Linked DNA regions of Rattus norvegicus. The protein of the gene in region 2 purifies or fractionates together with the protein of the main gene of each other region. This does not show direct contact. Links are inferred from orthologs where the notes say so. Each region holds a gene or a part of one and is shown on either strand. Other genes may lie near its edges. The genes, in order: Cttnbp2, Stk24, Fgfr1op2, Slmap and Ppp2r1b.

Region 1 (3,515 bases), on a different chromosome or scaffold from region 2:
AAGTCCCCTTTGGTCTTTCATCCTCTTGCCAAGTGTGTTAAGGTAAGGCATTGTCAGTCTGTTCAGTTTTGGTTTGTTTTGTCTTTTTACCTGTATGTCCATTCTTAGCAGCAGAATACAAGGCAGAATGGCTATCTTCACAGCAGTAATTTATGTCCAGTCCTTCTTCATTAAGCAGCATTGATAATAGAGTGACATTTCCCTGGGCAGCAGCTTGCTGAAGAAGGGTGGGCCTGCCAGCCAGGGGGGCAGGACCACCACTCATTAGCAAAGGGGTTAGGGAGGGTGACCAGCCTGTAGGTTAAAGTGACCCTAGTTAGACAGCAGGAAGAAGAGACAGAAACTACCATTCTTTTTTCAATCACACACACAGAGACAGGAACACGTATTTCTAGAAGATTACATGGTTTCTAACATTATCAATCTGTTAATACTGTCTTAGCATAAATCCGTACTGTTATTTTCAGACTTTCTATCTGGTGCTAATTAAATTAACCTTGATGGGGGGGCATGTTATTTTTAGTCGTCAGTTTGGCACAAGAAAAAAGAGTTAAAGAAATAATTGCTTTTAGGAGGCCGAGACGGCTACCACATTCCACAAACTTAAATTTCTATTTAGAATTTAAGATCATTTTGAATTTTAAGATTATATAAAGGTTACCTTAATTTCAATACTGATATGGCAATGTAAATTAAGTAAGTGTGAGATACCACCATAACTGCAAAGAGTTTCTTCAACAATGCTTCTAAGATAATTATTTGTATAAACCAGGAAATAGGCCTCACTCTATCAAGGAGTTTGTCCTATTCCTTCATTTCAAATCTAAGAAACAAATATGGGTGTTAAAAGCTGACAGAAATACAATATATATAAATGGCTGTATTGTACGACAGAACATAGTTCAGTAACTCTGAAAACTTTGAAAACGGCCACCTCTCGCCATCTTCACTGCAGGACTAACAAACTTGAGATTGGCCAACAAAGCAGGGTGCTCTACCACACAGCTTTAAACAAAGATTGCAAGATGATCATGGTTAGTTTTCTCATCAGTATTTAGCAGTTTTAGAAGAGAATCTGTTAAGAGTGTGAAGTCGGCTGCATATAGCCTGGAAAATTTTCTGAATCCTTCCTTGATCAAAAGGCTGTAAAAACAGTAAAGTACACATGTTTATTTAATTGATAATTATGTCCTTTCGGGTTAAATACATTGAGTGAGCCCCAGTACTTTTCAGCAGTTCTGTACATAACTACACATATATATTCTTCATGCAGACTTTCCATGGGGAATAGCTATATAGCTATCAGTATCAGTTACACTAATATGAATGTAATATTCAATTCTTATGATTAATCACAAGTTTTTGGCTTTACTTCTTTCAGGATATATTTAAAGTACATATCAAAGAAACTCCTCTGAATATTGAAAATTCTTTATAAAAATAAGTCAGAGAGGCCATTTATGCCAATAGAAATCCATGGAAGATTGAATCTCAAAATTATATCTTTACAACTAATAATTTGAATCCACGGATTACTTATTGTTTTATCATATCAGGACAGCAATGACAGACAATTAAAATGTTTATAAAATTCAATATTTCTCAAATCTTTATATTTTCCCATCCATATTGATTAGGTCTTCTTAGAAAAGTAGTATTTTTACTTCATACTTACAAGAAGGCTCCTCTCTGGTACATTTTACCTTTTGTATTTTCTTAAAAACAAACAAACAAAAAAAACAGGCCCACAAAAATTAAATCAGTACTTATTAGAAATGGATGATAGACAGAAAATTATAAACACCAAGGTAGGACACCTTGACTGTAATTAACAAGCAATAAGAAAGCATTACACTACCGTCCCCAGCAGAACAGGGATGGGGGGGTCTGCTTCATGCTATAAACACACACACATACATACTCATGTACACACACACTCATACACACATACATACCTGTACACATGCATACACACACTCATGCACCCACGCAAACATCTGCGCGCGCGTGCACACACACACACACATACACACACACACACACCGCACTCATGCACACAGGCACACATGTACATGCACACATGCATACACACACGCACATCTGTACACATGCGTGCACACACACTCATCTCTTCTTTACATCTCATTCAAGGAATCTAGGTTCTTGACAGTCTTCCATGAATACCAATGTGTACATACTAAAGTTTGCTCATCTTTTAGTTTAAACCACAGTTCTAGGCTTTGTAAGAGACAATACAAATTCACATTTCCAATTGTTTTATATGGGTTTATATGGAAATATTCAATTATGTGTATAATTTTCTGGAAGACCCCACTTGAGAGCAGTAAAAGGCTTTATTCAAAAATGTTATTAATCATAAGGTCATGAAGTGTTGTTGCTTTTCCAGTCAGATTCAAAGAAAGCAGTATCAGTTTCTTTGGAGGACTGAAAAAAAATGGTCTCTAAATCTTCACAAAAGAAAACGTTTTGAAAATATTGTAAACTTTAAGCTCTTAAATTTAAACAAATGTTATTTTTTTACTATAATTTCCAGTTTTCTCCCAATACAATTTATTTTAAGAACTCCTGTTACTTATATGTTGGAATTAAAAGAAAGACCTCACTAAACATTAGTATTCATCTGAAATTCTCAGCCATGAGAGAAATGGTAATATGTGATTAACTGGATTAGTTAAGGACAGAATAAACCCGAGTCCACACAGCTACTCTACAGGTGTTAGAAAGTCATTCGGCTACACGGCATTGTAGGCAAACGCTAGTAAAGGTGAGGATTTGCATAGCAGGCCACAAAACATGGGGACATGCAAGGGCAGAGGAAAAGGAGCTGAGAACAGCTTCTGGCACCAGCTTCAGAGGGTGGAGAGGGTTAAGGTCACAGCCCAGACCATTCTGATTTTGCGATTTAGCATTCAAGCCAATCATACACGAGTATACTTTAGAAAATATCTTTAAGGAAGGAAAAAAGTCTGAACCAAATGAAATGGAATTCATAAAATAAATAATAGTAATAAAATAAATAATATCAACAAGAAAAACAATCACAAAGAAGAAAGAGAGGAAGGAAGGAAGGAAGGAAGGAAGGAAGGAAGGAAGGAAGGAAGGAAGGGAAACAGAAAAATTTGCAAAGGTTTGGGGATTCAGTTGCCTGGAGTGATTCCTATTTTAACCTTCTTCATGTAACCATTGGAATATATCATATATAATATATAAATATATGTGTATATTATACATTATATATTATATATTCATTTGACAAATTGGTAAGAATTTCTAATTCATTTACAATTTAAAACACTATTTTAAGAGTTCATGATTTGTTATGAGGTCACCTCTGGTTAGCGTACTTTAGAACGCAACCCATTAAAATGAGACCCCTCTGCCACTCCGGCTTTTCACTGGGATTTCACCTCACTGTTACAGACAGAGGTGGCAGGGACACAGGGCATCTCAAGAGAAAGATCCCAGGTTCCAGGGCAAAGAGGAATAAAGAGTCT
Region 2 (3,975 bases):
GGAATGAGGTCTCAGGGTCCCTATGGCCCGAGGCAGAGCGATTCTGACTCTTAGACCACTTCCTATTTGTCACTAGTACATACAGTACTTCCTGGAGGCGCATGGATTCACTCCATCGGTCCTTGTTTGCTGCAGAAGAAACAGTTTAGAAGGAGGGCAGAGCTGGTGCCCAGAGTGGGCCCGCGGCCTTAGGAGCAGTAAAGCGAGGGGAGGGCTGGGTAAGAGTCCAGACCGTGGTTTCCTTCCATTGTCTTCTCTTCCTCCGTCACCCCTCCGCACCTCACTTTCCCCTTCTTGTGCGCAGCGCAGAGATGGCGGGGGCCCAGCCCTTCCTCCGTCCAGCTAAGTTTCCACACCCGGCGGCCCAGGCGAGGTTGAGTTCAGTATCCAAGGCACTGCACACAAACTGCCCTCTCTACCCTTGGGGTTTCCTCCTTGATCTGGCTGGAAACTTCGTACGGACAGCGAGGACGCTCCGCCCGAGTCTTTTGGAACAGGCCCCAGGCTAGGCCCCTCTGGGGACACCCCGAGTGCAGACTCTGGCCTCTGGAGGGCCGGGGCGGGTAAGAGGGAAGAGTAGGAGTGGGTGGTGCTCTCCGCTCCCCCGGGCTCAGCTCTGCTCCGCGCGCGAGGCCCACCCCGCGGTTCCGAAGGACCCGGCCACGCAGCACCCGGAGAGCGCCCGCTGAGCCCCGAGGACCCCGCCCGCGCGCCCGCAGGGAGGCCCCACTGCGGCCTAGGGCGCCCGGCGGCTCCTCCCCTCCCCCTCCCCCTCCCGGAAGCGCGGGGCGGGGTCCCCGGCCGGGCCGCGGGGGCGGGCGCGGGGGCCGGGCCGGGGCGGGGCGCGGCGGGTTGTGCGCGCCCACTCGGCTCCAGGCGGCCAGCGCTCGCGGGCCCAGGCCGCCCGGCTCGACCCGAGCACCGCGGCGGCGCAGCGGCGGGAGCCTAGGAGAAACAGCCGCAATCAGGAGACATTCCCGCTGTCCCCGCTGCCCGCCCCAGGCTCGGTGTATGGGGCCGCGGCCCGCCAACCTTCGCTGAGACCGTCCCCGGGGTGCGGTGGCCTCGGGCTCCAGAGCCCGCCCCGCCACCCGAGGGCTGCGCGCGGCCCCGGGCCTGCTCGCCGCGCGACTCCGCGCGTCCCGGGCCAGGAAGTGGCGGCGCCGAGAGCCATGGCCCACTCCCCGGTGCAGTCGGGCCTGCCGGGCATGCAGGTAGGCTGGGGCGTCCGGGTCGGGCTGCGGGCCGTGGCGGAAGCGGGCAACTTGGCGGTGTCAACACGCCCCCCCTCCCCCCAACGGCCGGGCCCGTTTCTCCGGGATCTTCGCCGACCGGAGCAGCCGGGATCTCGGGTGTGTGCACGTGGAGGGGCCGTGGGGTCTGCGGCCTCGGGTCGAGGTGGGGTGCAGGAGCTTTGTGCTCCCCAACTCGGACGCTCAGGCCAAGCGCTCATTCGGGGCAGGAGTCTGAACTAGTGTCCTTGGAGGCCCCGTTTGGGTGCCTGGGCCCTGTTTGGGCCTGGCACAGGGACAGCGGGATTCCAGGGTCTTCAGTCCCCAAGAGTCCCTCCCCAGAACCCCCAGACGGGAGACGGGAGCGCGGGACGGGGAGCGCGCCCCGGCTGGTCCCAGCCGGGCGGGCCGCAGGGCGGGGTGCAGGAAGGTGTAACCTCGCGTCCAAGCCTGTAGTTCTGGTGTGGAAAGTGCGAGGTTGCAAACCCGGGAGGCGGAACCCACACCTCTGCGAGTGCCCTGGCGTGCAGAGCCCAGGTTCACCCCTCGGATGCCAGGTCTCCGCTGCTAGACTTTCACTTTGAGACACGATGGCATCCAAAGCAGCTGTGTGCTAGCTTGCTTCTCCCTGCACTCTTTGTATCTTCTTAGTTCGCCAGTGACTTTTTCTTTGGAGGGGAAGGGGGCGGTGAGGGGAGGGAGTTGAATTTCAAGTTTACATGGATGCACGAACATTTTTTTTTTTTTTTTTTTTTTTTTGCTTTTGAGGATGTTTTTCTGTACTTTGAAAAACAATCACTGGTCTGTTCTTGTAAAGTTTGTGAGCGTATAATGCAGACAAAATGATTGCGATTAACACCGCAAGACCAGTCAAAGTTTTGTTTTCCCAAGTGAGTGAACGGAAGAGTTTTGCTTTAAAAAAGCAAAAAAAACAAAAAACAAAAAACAATAAAACCTCAGAATATCCGAGATGATCAGTCTACAGACGCAGCAGGCGCTTTCTCTCGGGCTCCTGGGTTGAGCGGCACGGGCCTTGCCTCTTACTGCTTCTGCTTCTTCTGAAACTATTTTCCATCCCTGTTTTCTTTCTTTCTTTTTTAATTCATACCTCGGGAAGGAAAATGGATTTCTTTGTCCAGGTTTGAACTCTGGAAGAATAGGAATTCAAAGTTACCACTTTAGTGGCCATTAGAGCTTGAGCCCTTTTTATTTTTGAGGAATAATAAAGTTGGAATTGAGTGTCACTGGAAAGGTGCTCTCAAAGTATTCTTGAAGTCTCACCTTGCGAGCCCGGTGTAAAACCTGATGCTGCTGGCCACAAGTTGAAAGTCAGCCGCGGCCTCCTACAACTCTTGCCTTGGTTCGACTTTAGAGACAAAACACCTGGGTCAACCGGGCGACAGTTTCTTACCTGTACAGCAAAAAGGACCTCTTGGCACATTAAAAGCACGTTTTTCCACGTTTTCTTCATTCATGTGTGGGAGGTCAGTACCAGGTGGTTCCTAGCTGGGGGCTGCTCTCTCATTTTGTTTGTTTGTTTTAAAGAATGGGCCAAAATTCTTCACTTTGGGAAAAGAAAAATTCAATAACTTTACCTAAAAAGTGTATTTCCTGTGTGTTCTTGAGAGGAAGCCTTTTTAATTTTGTTTTTCGGTATGGAGATGATAGCCTTTTCTCAGTATTAATTTTTTTTTTTTTTGTCTGTTCTGGTTCTGCCAAGGAGGAATACTGGCTTTTCACAGCCCAACCTGCCCCTCTCTATGTCTTCAAACCACATGATAACATTTTTAGTGCATTACTGGAGACTGTTCCTATCCTTCCCTTCCCTCCAGAAAAGAAAAACCAGTACATTTATTTTCAACTTGGAGTCAGGAGCTGCAGCCTGCCTCCCTAGGAGCTGTTTTGAGGATCACATGAGAGGCTTGCCTGGCCTTGACTCTTGTCTAGGATAAAGCTGGAGAGGAAGAGGTCTTCCCTGTTGCCCCACAAACTCCCTGCAGACTCCTGGCTAGGGTTTAGGAGGAACTGGGTTAAGTGTTTTGGCAAGTGGGGTGTGGTAGGGTCGAGGCAGGAGGATTTCTGTCAGTTCAAGGCCAGCCTGGGTTACCTTAGGGAGTTCTAGGCTAGCCAAGGTTAATCCTGTGACCCAGTCTCAGAAGAACTGGACAAAGTTCGGCAAGGCAGCAGACTCAGACAGCCCGAGGGAAATAAGTCGAATTCAGGAACTCTTTTGTATAAGGACTTTATGGCCTGCTAATCACTTTATATCTGTTGTTGATTGCTGGTCTGATGGAGGAAGAGGTTACTTATACCGTCTTGTAACTTTGTGAATGAGGAAGGGTTTGAATGGACCAAGGTAAAGTAGTGTGTAGAAAGGCATACAGTGATTAAACCCAGGTCTTCACTCTGCCTTTGCCAGTGTTAAACACCATTTTGTTTTAGGTTGTATTTGCTGAAGAAAGAAAGATAAGATGAATGTGTGTGTGTGTGTGTGTGTGTGTGTGTGTGTGTGTGTGTGTGTTTTCCCCCTCACTCAGTAGCTGTGATTGATGGGCAACTCTAGTGATCTTTGGTGAGGAGTTTCGGGCTGTACACCTGACTGTTTTGATGAGATTCGCTGGGGATTTTCTTTTCCTCTTTGGGTTTTGTAGTCTGTTGAGAGAATTAGAAAGTAAGACCTGGCCAGGTGCCTTTAGTCCCAGGAGACAGGGACAGGCAGATCTCAGAATTCGAGGGCCAGCCT
Region 3 (4,278 bases), on a different chromosome or scaffold from region 2:
TTCTCTCCCTTTTTGACTAGTAAAGTGGGAGAGATATTTTCCACATTTTGTTACACAGTAAAAAAGTGAATCCAATTTAAAAAAGGAATACTTTCAATTTATTTACCTATTTTTTCAGTTTTGTCTTAACTAGTCATAATACTCTTAAATTATTTTAAACAGGTAGGCTCAAATTACAGAGGTATGCCTTTAAGAAACAAGTTTTCTTTCTTCTTTTGCTTCCTGCTTAGCCACATTTTCACCCACTCTACCACTAAGACATCTGCAGTCAGATTCTTACAGATGGTCCAGAACATTCTGCTGCTCATTAAAGAGAAACCACCACCTACCCACAGCAGCAATTGCCAGCTGGATACTTTTTAGCTTTTAGTTAAGAAAAATCTAAAGAAATTCAAGTAATTCTTGTTTCTTTTATTAGCAAATCTACTAATCATCCAATTTCTGGAGATACAAAAACATGGTATGATATGACATGTTTTTAGATGTCAAAAATTTAAATTGTTACTGCTCAGGTTGGTACTTCTAGTGTTATTAAATATGCAATAATATTATATTAACTGGCACATGAAAATAGCAACATAAAAATGTGTTTCAAGTCCTTAGAGAAATATTTTAAGAGATCAAGAATGTATATAGCCAGTTATGGGAGTATATACTTTTAATCCCAGCACTAGGGAGGCAGAGCCAGTTGATTTATCTGTGAACTTAAGGCCAGACTGGTCTACCTAGTGAGTTCTAGGACAGCTAGGACTATGTAGAGCCTCCAACAACCACCCATAAACAAACAAACAAAATGTTTATAAAGAACATATAAAAATGAGCATCTTGTTCAGCACATACACTATTTGAAAGTACAGAAAATTCCTACTGTCCTTGAATATTAATATACTTGGAGCTTTATGAAGAAAATCAATTCTTAAAGTTGAAAGGAACACAATTTGAGAGAAAGAGCACATTGAATCAAGACCAATTTATACACTCCCTAAAATTGTGGCTATGTTGTGTGTTCAAATTAACAATCCCAAAAAGAACTAACCTAACCCAAGCCAGTTATTTCTAACATATGGCCAAGAGTTGGAATTTTTCTTATGCTGAGCACTATCAAAAACATTTGCATCCCATAAGATCCTAGTTGTTAAACATGATACTAACATAATATAAAATCATTTGAATGCATAGGGTATGTGCATGCATGTGCATTTGATATTATATACAATCTCCATCCACTAAGAGCAAAAGTACAATTAATTACATAAGTGTTAGGGTTACAAGGCTGCTCATGTTCATGCTCAAAGCAGGTAAGGGCTTTTGGGTTCTAATATTCTGATTTTTAAGAGACAGAATTTTTATAGCAAATTCTTTAGAATGATTACATTATAAATAGTATATAATAATAATGCTTGCTATGAGCCAACACTGAACTAGCATTTGTTTTAAACATGAGTAAGACACGATTCCAGATTCAAGTTCAAGCTGGCAGGAGAGACAGGTAACTGAACAAATAATGCATCCTAATAAATACTGCGGAATTATGTCAAGAGCTCTGGGAGTTCACTGTGTTATCGATGTCACCCGAGGGAGTCTAAAAAGACGTAGGGTTTTGAGAGACGATGAGACAGAAGGAAAACCAAGCATCCCAACAGACTATCTGGGTTCACACAGCAGTGGCGGAAATGTGAGGTATGCTTGGGAAACCCCCAACAGCCGGGCATAAGTGGATGGTAAAAAATTAGGGGCGGCAACAGGATGGCCCTGAAGAGGTAAAATATGATTTAAGATAGGACGGTAAAAAGCCCTGACGGATCGGTAGGCTTAAATTAGAACTTGAAAAAGTTTAAGGAGAGAGAATGCATTTCACAGTAAGTATGGAAGGCTGAGGCGGGCACACCGGTTTGGGGTGGAGGAAGGGCAACTGTCATAGTCACAGTGAAAGAAGCAAAAAATCTGGTGCAGTGTGAGTGGAATACAGAGCCTTAGACAATTCTGAGGTCCGTGTTCTGGAAAGGGGGACGGTACTACGATCAGGGACCGGAAGAAAAGAGACAGGGTCCTCACTCTTGTCAAAGATGACAGTGGCAATATACGGCATGAGTCTTTCAAAGAATGGGATAAAGAAAGAATGCGTGCGGATCACACACACAAATAAGCATCCAGCCCCCACTCATCACTCTGGAAGCAGAGGAACTGCACTGTTCCTGAAAATGGTGGAAAGCACACACTTGGAGCTTCTGAAACATCTGTCTGAGGGAAGCCAGTTGTTCCAACTTGGAACAGAATTTGGAAGGGCGCTGAGGGATTCAAACGATCTCAGCAGCTCCCTCAGGATCGTGGCTAAGTCCCAGTCGCAAACGCGGTCGAGTGCGCTGAGGCAAACTCAACACCGACAAGTCCCTCCAGCCACCGCCCACGGAGCTCCGGAGTGGCAGGAAAGGAAACCCGGAAAGGGTGTCCCGTGGCCTGCAGGCCCGGGGGTTTTCATGGAACTTTCCGTACCTCTGTTCCCGGCAGGAGCTCAGTGAGAGCACGGAGACAGGGAGCCCGGCTCAGAGGTTCACCCACTCGTGTTTTTCCACTCAGCTTCAGTCCCCCTCAGCCGTCAGAGACGGCGACCACCACCCGCGAGATGGAGGCGCCCAGAGAGTGCTCTCCGCGGCCTCGCTGCGCCTGCTCAGCGAGCGGACACACAGCCCTGCTCACACAGCGGCAGGGAGGATCCGGCAGCCCGCTTGCCTCGGCTCCATCCCGGGCGGACCAGAACCTCCGCTACTGGCAGCCACACAGCGACAAGCCTCGCGAGACTTCCCTCCGCGAGTTACCGAAAGCCCCGCCCCCTGCAGGCGGCTGGCTGTTGATTGGTGGATGGGTAGGGGGCGGGGCTTCCCTCTTCTGCTCTCACGGGTTTGCTCTGGCGGCTCGCACTCTCTCGCGCGTTTTCCGAGGGGCTACCGGTCTGGACTGAAGGCGGAGAGGGGAGCTTGAGTGGGTGCGCTCTGCCTGTGCAGAGCCGAGGCCGGCTTATCCCGGCTGCGGCTAGTACTTTGGGGGTTCTCTCAGGTGGTCCTGACCATTCTTCCCAACGGTCGATTGGGAACAATCGTTAGAGCCTTCTTTTTTTTCCCCTCACTTGCTCCGCCCTCTTCCGGTTCGGCCTCTGGTAGCCTCTAAGGGGAAGGGGAAGATGGCGGGACTGTGCGAGAGCGCCGTGCGCACGCGCGAGCCCGAGTGCGCTTTGGTGGGTGCACGCGCATGCGCGCGCTCCTGCGTTTAAGAAGCCGGAGTGTTGGGCGATGAGCCGGGCAGTCAGTCTTCTGCGGGTGGTACCAGACCGTCTGTGCGCCGACTCCCCACCCACCCTCGTCTGCCTTCTCCCTTAGCCTCCGTTCGCTCACTACAGGACCAGGCACGAAAGTAAGCGAACCTCGACGCCGAGGGCTTTCCCGTCCACTCACCTTGTCCCCCCCCCCCCACCCCTCTACCTAGCAGCCAGGTGTGTGCAGAAGGTTGCAGACAGGGACTTTGGGCGGGGAGAGGCGGTGCGCTCCAGAGCAGCCGGAGGTAATAGCGGGTCCCTAAGATGCTTCGTTACACTTGCTCTGTTTCCCATGTGCTTTTAGAATGTAGATTTTTAAAAAAAAATTTTTTTTGCTCTAAAATTTTAAGAGCGAAGCGGGGCAGTGCACCACGTGTGTGTGTGTGTATACATGTATATATATGTGTGTGTGTGTGTGTATATATATATATATATATATATATATATATATATATATATATATATATATAAAAGTTTTAGAAGTGTTTCCTCCTCATCTGCATGAGATAGCATCTGTTCTGGTCTACATGGTGAATTACTGTAGTGTATTGCAAGTTGAGGGAGAGGATGAGAGTTTGGGCCATAGGAAGACCCAATATGCAAGTTACCTTAGGAGATGTGTGTGTATTTGGGGTTATACTTTTGCTGTCAGTCTTTTCCTGTGGATTTTCCTCGGCCCCTAAGAAGGGTCAGCATAAATACATTTGAAGAATGGATCTGTGGTTTGTGGGCATAGGAATCAAATACAATGCGTATAAATGTTTTCTTCTATTTTAAGTGCTTTGTAAAAGAAAAAGAAGTATGAGCTAATTTCATGTGGTAAATTGACTGCATGGTATGACGTAGCTTATTCCTTGAACTGGCACCTTTACCTTGCCCTTTTTTGCACAAAATTCTTGGAACTTAGGATCCCTATCAAATCTTGAGGAAAACACACCTGTGAGAAATCACTTGAGATAAATAAATGT
Region 4 (3,515 bases), on a different chromosome or scaffold from region 2:
AGTGTCCCGCTCAGACACAGCCTTTGCTGCTGCTTGATGAAGGAGCAAAATCTCATCTTGAGCACTCAGCAATTTATCTCTCGTGCTAGAAATCTCAGTGTCCTTTTCCTCCTGGAGATTCTCCATATCCATGTGTAGCCTCTGCAGCTGGACTGTAAAAGTGTATTTATCATTTCCCAAGTCACAGGGATTAGGAATGCAATTACAGCACATTACAGGTTTCAGCCACTGTGCAGCCTCACTCTCACAGCTCTTTTTCCTCACTTTCTTTTGATTAAACTGCACATGTTTGTACAGAAAATACCAGAACACAGATGTAAAAGAAAAAAGCCAAAAACCTAAAGTAAATTTATTTTAGTATGTTGACATTTATTCTTTTTTCTAATGCCTTCATTCATATATAAAATAACGAACATTGAGTACAAAGGGATTTATATATGCATGTATATAATATATATTTTTCTATCTTCTTGCCGATGAAAATATTTTGTAGGGAGGGAGGCAGTGAGACAGTTTTAGCTGAGGCAGGAAGGACTCAGAGTCATTACCCAGCTGAGGTGGGCCTTAAACTCATGACCATCCTGCCTCTTACGTGCTGGATTACAGGCATGCAGCACTCCAGTTAGCATGACCCTGCCTTCTCAACTCCAGTGTCTATGATGGGTTACTGGGACAGTCCCTCCCTTTGTCTGCTTTGAAGGCCAACTGTCCAAGGGCCTAGTACGACGGTTTCTAGGGAAGAACAGAGCCATGGCAACTGAGGACCCTCTGCAACCTTACTTTCCATTCCTTTGCAATCACTGAACACAACCATAACCACAGCTGTCTTAACAGTCGTGGGAGCCCCATACCTTGAAGAACCTGGATTTGTTTAGCTGATTCCTCAACTTGATTTCGATAGGCTTTTCGTTCTTCTTCCAAAAGAGCTAAAAGGCAAAAACACAGTGTATCTAATTTTGTGAGTTAATGAAAAACATTCATAATTGTGCAACTAGAAATTTCTAAAATTTGTCTTTTAAAGTTTATGGAGAGACACAAGGTTAGATGTTAAGTATTATCAGTATTAGCCATTAAGATTTTAGAACACAAAACAATAGTAAGTAAGAAATCTATAAAATCTAGTTCCATAATTTCATACACTGAATACCAGTAGGCTTTTCTTACACAAGAAATATTCACATAATTGTTAGTTATCATTTTGAGCAATGCAAGATAGCACAGGTTTATAATCCCAAATACGGGGACGGTTAAGACAAGGAGTCTCACAAGTTCAAGGCCAGCCTAGGCTATGTTAGAGGGTTGTGATAGCTCTGTGGCAGAGTGCTTACACAAAGGCCTAGGTACAATACCTGGTACCATTAAAAAATTATCATATTAAGGACTGGGTATCATACTGCATACTTAATCTAACCCAAACACTGAGGTAACAGAGGCAGGCAGATCTCTGTGAATTCAAGCAAGTTGTCATCTATGTAGTGAGTCCCTTTGCTAGCAAAGGCTATGTATTGAGACCCTATCTCAAAACAAAACAAAAAAACTCTACCCAACCACGAACAAAAAAACAAAACAAAAACCCCAAAATGGAATATTCTTGTGTTTATTGTCAAACACATAGTAAATAAAAACAATGGCTGATTGATAAATATTTTTCATTGTAATTAAACATTAGTTTGTATCCTATAATAAAGTCAAGAGAGACAACTGCCTACTTTTTAATTTCTGCAGTTCTGTGGCTGAAAGCCAGGGCCACATGCACTGGGCTGGCCTTCCTTAAGATAAGCCACAGTCCTAACAGCTCATCAGCAATCATGTCTTTAAGAATCAGGAAAGGAAGTAGTTAGGAATTCACAGCTTCATCTTGGCATTTGAATTGTTCTGCCCAGGAAGGGAATCTCATAAAACTTAGGGGTGCCATAAGGATCCATGGGCTGGATCTTGGGACTCTCCAAGACTTTAACTGCCAAAGGGCAATGGTTCCAGAGGCGGATGATTATAGGCCACGAGGAAGAGAAGTGGCTGAGATGAAAAAGACTTTTTTTTTTTTTTTTGAGGGCATCTAACTACCCAGACTGGCCTCAAACTTACACCCTTTCCCCTCTACATAGACCACTGGCCTCAGCTGAGAAGATTCCATATTTTGAACCCTGTCTGCAACCTTCCTGTTAAATAACCACCCTGAAAAGTGAGCACTAACTTAATTTACACGGTTCCCTCCTGAGCCAGGCTTGTGTGGATCCACACTGGTGGATGGAGCATCTCACATCCAAACACATGTGCAATATGAAATGCTATGAAATCTGAATCCTTTGACCTGAGCATTTGAGATAAGGGACATTCAGCCTGCAAAGAGCACAGACTAACAATGAAGCACAGAGCTCTTCTGTCGGTAGAGCTCTTGTGCTCCTCACAATTACAAAGGCAGAGAGCAGCTGTGATAGCCCTCTCACCAGCTGAAGTGATGTCTGAGAACAGCCCAGCCCTGGCTCTCCCTGCCATGCCTCTGGGCTCTGAGCTCTTGTGCCATCACACCTACTCTGCCTCACAGGACCCCAGGGGGCTGCAGGGATCTTCGTCTCACCTTGAAGGTCAAAGCATTTTTGTTTACTTGCTCTAGCTAGCTCCTGGGCTTCCACCAATTCTTTCCGAAGATGTTGAGTGTCTTGTTTGGCCTCAGTTTCTGCCTGGGTACCCTGTAAGTCATCTGACAAAAACACGTTTTTTTAAAAAGCAAGTGTTAGTACTGCACTATATTCTCTGTAACTAGTGTCTGGCACTCTTTCATGTTTAGACATACATAGTTTGCAACATGGCACAACTGAGTTAAATAAAACTTAGAAGCAAATTAGAGTAAGCACATTAGTTAACACAGATACTAGTACTATAAAAGATAGAAATTAACATACACATAATTGATGTTCATCTCCTGTAAACTTGAAATCCAGTGAGGAGATAGGCACACCACTGTTTCCATCAGTTTTCAATCATGTTCTTACTACTACGGTTATTGGTGTGTGTGTGTGTGTGTGTGTGTGTGTGTGTGTGTGTGTGTGTGTGTGTGAAAGAGAGAGAGAGAGAGAGACAGAGAGAGACAGAGAGAGATGCATGCCTGCATGCCACAGTGCAGATATAGAGGTCAGAAGACAACGTAAGGAAGCTGTCTCTTTCTCTCCCCCATGGGGCTCCCAAGGATTGAACTCAGGTTATCAGGCTTGGCAGCAAATGCCTAATTTACCAGAGCAACCAACCCTCTGCCAGCTCCTTCTCCATCGACTTTGAAATTCAAGAATAAGACAAGAAAAACTACCTGGAGCTAAAACAAAAATGGAAAAACAAAAGAAATTCATCTTTAAGAAAGAACGTGAGGGGGTTGGGGATTTAGCTCAGTGGTAGAGCGCTTGCCTAGGCCTAGGAAGCGCAAGGCCCTGGGTTCGGTCCCCAGCTCCGGAAAAAAAAAAAAAAAAAAAGAAAGAACGTGAGGACGAGCAGGCTCAGCAGGGAGAGGAGGCACTTCCAAG
Region 5 (3,515 bases), on a different chromosome or scaffold from region 2:
CCCCCATTACAGTGCAGGCTCCTTTGGAGCAAGGTGCCCTGTGTGCTCGTTCAGCACAGCAGCAGTCTTTGATGGGAAGTGAGTTTCAGGCTGCACGGGAGTGTTTTGAGCTCAGAGCTGACAGAGTATAAAACCCGGGGCTAGTGAGCAGAAGCATCTCGGGCTCAGAAACGGGCACTGGGAAACAGAATTCAAATGAAGGGACAACTCCTAAGCCATTTCCCGGAGGTTGGCCATCTCCTGTGGTAGTTCTAGACTGTGTCACAGTAGGCAGGGGACAGATCGTGAAAGACTGACTAGTAAGAAGCGGTGTTTTTTCAGGGGACCTCTGACACACCCTCTAGGAAAGCACAAAGCTCTCTACTTTTTTGAACCACATTAGGCAGCACACTTCTTCTTTTCAAGTCCCAATCGTCTTTCTTGGTCAGTCTGCCATGGAGTTTTGTTCTAATTTCACAGCTTTAGCTTCTGCTCAGTCAAGTGGGATCAAATACAAATTTAGAAAGGCAGCTAGAGATTCAGAGGAGCAGCCCGTCTCCACTGTCCACCAGGCCGCATCGCTAGGTTACTGATGGGCCAGACCTTGAACCTCCTCTTGTCCTTTATGTCTCTGGATCTGCAAGGTCACCACTACCTCTGCATTTGTTTCCGATTGTCTGAAACTCCCATTCTTTGGCTCATGGAAAGATTCTGAATACATTTGGGGGGAAAGTGGTGTAGTCAGCTTTTTATTGGTTAGGAAAGTTGGGGCTCTTGAGCTCTCCTGGACAGGGTTGTTCACACCTCCAAGAATGGTAGGATGGTGCAGGGAAGGGCATGGACTCTGTACCTGACAAGAATTGACCATGCAGTGTGGCACCCACGGCTGGCCGTGGTTTTGGACTGGTTCCTAAGGAAGTAGCAAACTCCTGTCTCAATGTGGCTGCAAAGCATTTCAACTCCAGCTCCAAATAATCGTGATTCTGTGTCAAGTCTCTTCCACAGTGTCATTTGTAGACACCATCTGGGAATTGCCATCTGGGACATTCCATCTTGGCTTTTCTACAGAAGTCGTGTCTTCAGGTTGGCCACACCATATGTTATCACTGTGTTATCTGAAAGTAACCATTTGGTATGATGTAGTTAACATTCTGGTTATATGTACCGTTTCCCTTCAGTCACATAAAAGGTGGCATTCTGTGTCTAACCTGATTTAGTAAGTTGTCATCTCTGGTTTTCCTTTTCGATCTCTGCAGCCTCCTTTGGAAAGTTTGGCTACGGTGGAGGAGACTGTCGTTCGAGACAAGGCTGTGGAGTCCCTGAGGCAGATCTCCCAGGAGCACACTCCCGTTGCCCTGGAAGCTCATTTTGTACCCCTGGTGAAGCGCTTAGCAAGTGGGGATTGGTTCACATCTCGCACATCTGCATGCGGTTTGTTCAGCGTTTGCTACCCCAGAGCTTCAAATGCTGTCAAGGCAGAGATCCGACAGTAAGGCAGTTTTTAGTGTTTGGGACTCACAGCAGGGTTTACCCAGCTCTCTGTTTCCAACAGAGCTTCATACGAGGCTAGTGGGCTTGGCGATCTTTTCCATGTAGTTACATATACTAATGGCTTATTTTGTTCATGCGCATGTGCAAGCATATGTGTGTGTGTGTGTTTGTGTTTGCGCGCGCATACATGCATGCATGTGCGTGCATATTTCATGTGGCAGCCTCTGGTGTTGATCTTCAGGTACCTTTCTTCCTTTTCTTTGACTCAGGGTTTCTCATTAGCCTTGAATTCACTTCATAGGCTAACCTACCTGGCCTGCACACTTTTGGGGGACTGCCTGCCTCTGCCTCCCATCTTGCCCCTCTAAGGTTATAGGCACTCCCACTGTGTTCAGCTGTGTAAGAGGGTCCTGGGGACGATGAGTGGGCTTCATGCCCGGGAGGTAGACACTTTCCTGTCTAAGCTGTCTTTCTAGTCTTTTCTTACCCCTGTGAGTAGAAACCTAGTCATTGATGTTTATAAGAGACTGAAAGGTACTTGGTGCTTGCTTGCCCATGTGTATGACAGGAAGTACCTTATTTTATGCTGCAGGCACTTCCGTTCCCTGTGCTCGGATGATACACCAATGGTGCGACGTGCTGCTGCTTCCAAATTGGGTGAATTTGCAAAAGTTTTGGAATTAGACAGTGTTAAAACTGAAATTGTTCCATTATTCACGAATCTGGCTTCAGATGAACAGGTAACTGGAGACCTTTGATGCTAATGTAGGATTGTTTTGCAACATAATACTCAGTTCCTACCTGGTGTTTCTTTCTTAATTAGGCCCCACTTTTCTTTGTTAGTAGCTGTTAAAAGGAAGAGTTGGAGAAGAATTGGGTTCCATCACTAGGAAGCCAGGGCTGCATCAGGGACAGGTGTCTTGCAGAATTATGGGCTCTGTTACATATGGAGATGAAGCATTTCCTGGAATTCTGACTTTGTTAATTTCTGCATTAGAGTATGGTTGTACTGCACACAACAGTGACCTTAAATCCAAGGGTCTGGGTTTCCTTGGTGTAGAAATGAGAAAAATTGGGAATTCCTAAATTCTTTAATACAGTTGTTTGTCAGTACAGAGTGTGGGGATGGTTCTAGGATCATGTAAGAGTGCTTATCTTAGATTTCAGGTCCCATATGTAAAATGGTGTACACAATCTCCAGAACACAGACACTCAAGGAAGTGGAAGTCCAGCTAGTTTATGAAGCTTGGTTAAGGCTATATGTAGCTAGTTGAGTGTACATAGGCTTTAGCCACAGCACGGGGGCCGGTGTGGTTTCTTTGTGCTGGGATAGGAGTAGGCAGGCGTAGAATCTTTATTTGGAATTTAGCTGGTAATATTTCCCATGATGTAATTTGGCATTTTCTTTTGTCTCCTATACTTCCTGTTTGCAGATTTTAAAAATTTTTTTATTTATTTTTTTGATGAAGGCCAGCCAGGAAATGCTTTGAGGGGCCTATAGTTCCTATGAAACTCCACTCCCATGGTCCAAAAGCAGCCAGAGTATGGGAACCAATGGGCATGAAACTTACCCATGTCCTAGGTGGGAGCTGGCTGTGAGCATTTGGTGCTCAGAAAATACTCCATGTATTTTATTTTGGAGAAATGGAAATACACTGTGCTCCCTCTGACTGTGTATAGAAGACCTGCTCCTGGCTTACCCGTGGACAGAAACATTAAGTACCTACATATATATATATATCTATGTAAGGCATGGTTCTTATGTTAACTGCTGTGTTAAAGGCAGACAGGGTCCTTACTCTCATGGAACTTACATTATAATGGAGGAAAACAAACATGATAAAAATCAGGCATAAATGTTATAAAAATCAATGTAACACAGTAGAACACTGGCTGCTAGTCAGCAGAACTCTGAAGAAGTGACAGGCAGGCAGGAGACAACTAACATTGGAACATGGTGGTTGAAAGAGTCCAGGGAAGACAGGAGTGGAGAAGGAAGGTGGGAGCAGATCATAGCCCAGGGAAGACTTTGCAGTTTTGATTTT

Evidence for each region.
Region 1: the proteins of Stk24 (region 2) and Cttnbp2 purify together in Homo sapiens (affinity purification with mass spectrometry; 3 studies listed by BioGRID and IntAct, with this or other methods). This does not show direct contact. The link is inferred for Rattus norvegicus from reciprocal best matches to the Homo sapiens genes STK24 and CTTNBP2.
Region 3: the proteins of Stk24 (region 2) and Fgfr1op2 purify together in Homo sapiens (affinity purification with mass spectrometry; 4 studies listed by BioGRID and IntAct, with this or other methods). This does not show direct contact. The link is inferred for Rattus norvegicus from reciprocal best matches to the Homo sapiens genes STK24 and FGFR1OP2.
Region 4: the proteins of Stk24 (region 2) and Slmap purify together in Homo sapiens (affinity purification with mass spectrometry; 6 studies listed by BioGRID and IntAct, with this or other methods). This does not show direct contact. The link is inferred for Rattus norvegicus from reciprocal best matches to the Homo sapiens genes STK24 and SLMAP.
Region 5: the proteins of Stk24 (region 2) and Ppp2r1b purify together in Homo sapiens (affinity purification with mass spectrometry; 3 studies listed by BioGRID and IntAct, with this or other methods). This does not show direct contact. The link is inferred for Rattus norvegicus from reciprocal best matches to the Homo sapiens genes STK24 and PPP2R1B.

What each region holds. Positions count from the first base shown.
Region 1 is NC_086022.1:47,836,534-47,840,048, forward strand, and holds part of Cttnbp2 (cortactin-binding protein 2), read right to left. Parts: intron 1,716-3,515; coding exon of another isoform or gene 1,676-1,715; intron 295-1,675; coding exon 91-294; intron 1-90. UniProt on the Homo sapiens protein: Regulates the dendritic spine distribution of CTTN/cortactin in hippocampal neurons, and thus controls dendritic spinogenesis and dendritic spine maintenance.
Region 2 is NC_086033.1:104,862,974-104,866,948, reverse strand, and holds the start of Stk24 (serine/threonine-protein kinase 24), read left to right. Parts: upstream 1-1,172; coding exon 1,173-1,214; intron 1,215-3,975. UniProt on the Homo sapiens protein: Serine/threonine-protein kinase that acts on both serine and threonine residues and promotes apoptosis in response to stress stimuli and caspase activation.
Region 3 is NC_086022.1:181,220,830-181,225,107, reverse strand, and holds the start of Fgfr1op2 (FGFR1 oncogene partner 2 homolog), read right to left. Parts: upstream 2,811-4,278; 5' UTR 2,494-2,810; intron 1-2,493. UniProt on the Homo sapiens protein: May be involved in wound healing pathway.
Region 4 is NC_086034.1:1,687,393-1,690,907, forward strand, and holds part of Slmap (sarcolemmal membrane-associated protein), read right to left. Parts: intron 2,702-3,515; coding exon 2,579-2,701; intron 927-2,578; coding exon 852-926; intron 153-851; coding exon 1-152. UniProt on the Homo sapiens protein: Associates with the striatin-interacting phosphatase and kinase (STRIPAK) core complex, forming the extended (SIKE1:SLMAP)STRIPAK complex.
Region 5 is NC_086026.1:60,095,544-60,099,058, forward strand, and holds part of Ppp2r1b (serine/threonine-protein phosphatase 2A 65 kDa regulatory subunit A beta isoform), read left to right. Parts: intron 1-1,235; coding exon 1,236-1,468; intron 1,469-2,062; coding exon 2,063-2,210; intron 2,211-3,515. UniProt on the Homo sapiens protein: The PR65 subunit of protein phosphatase 2A serves as a scaffolding molecule to coordinate the assembly of the catalytic subunit and a variable regulatory B subunit.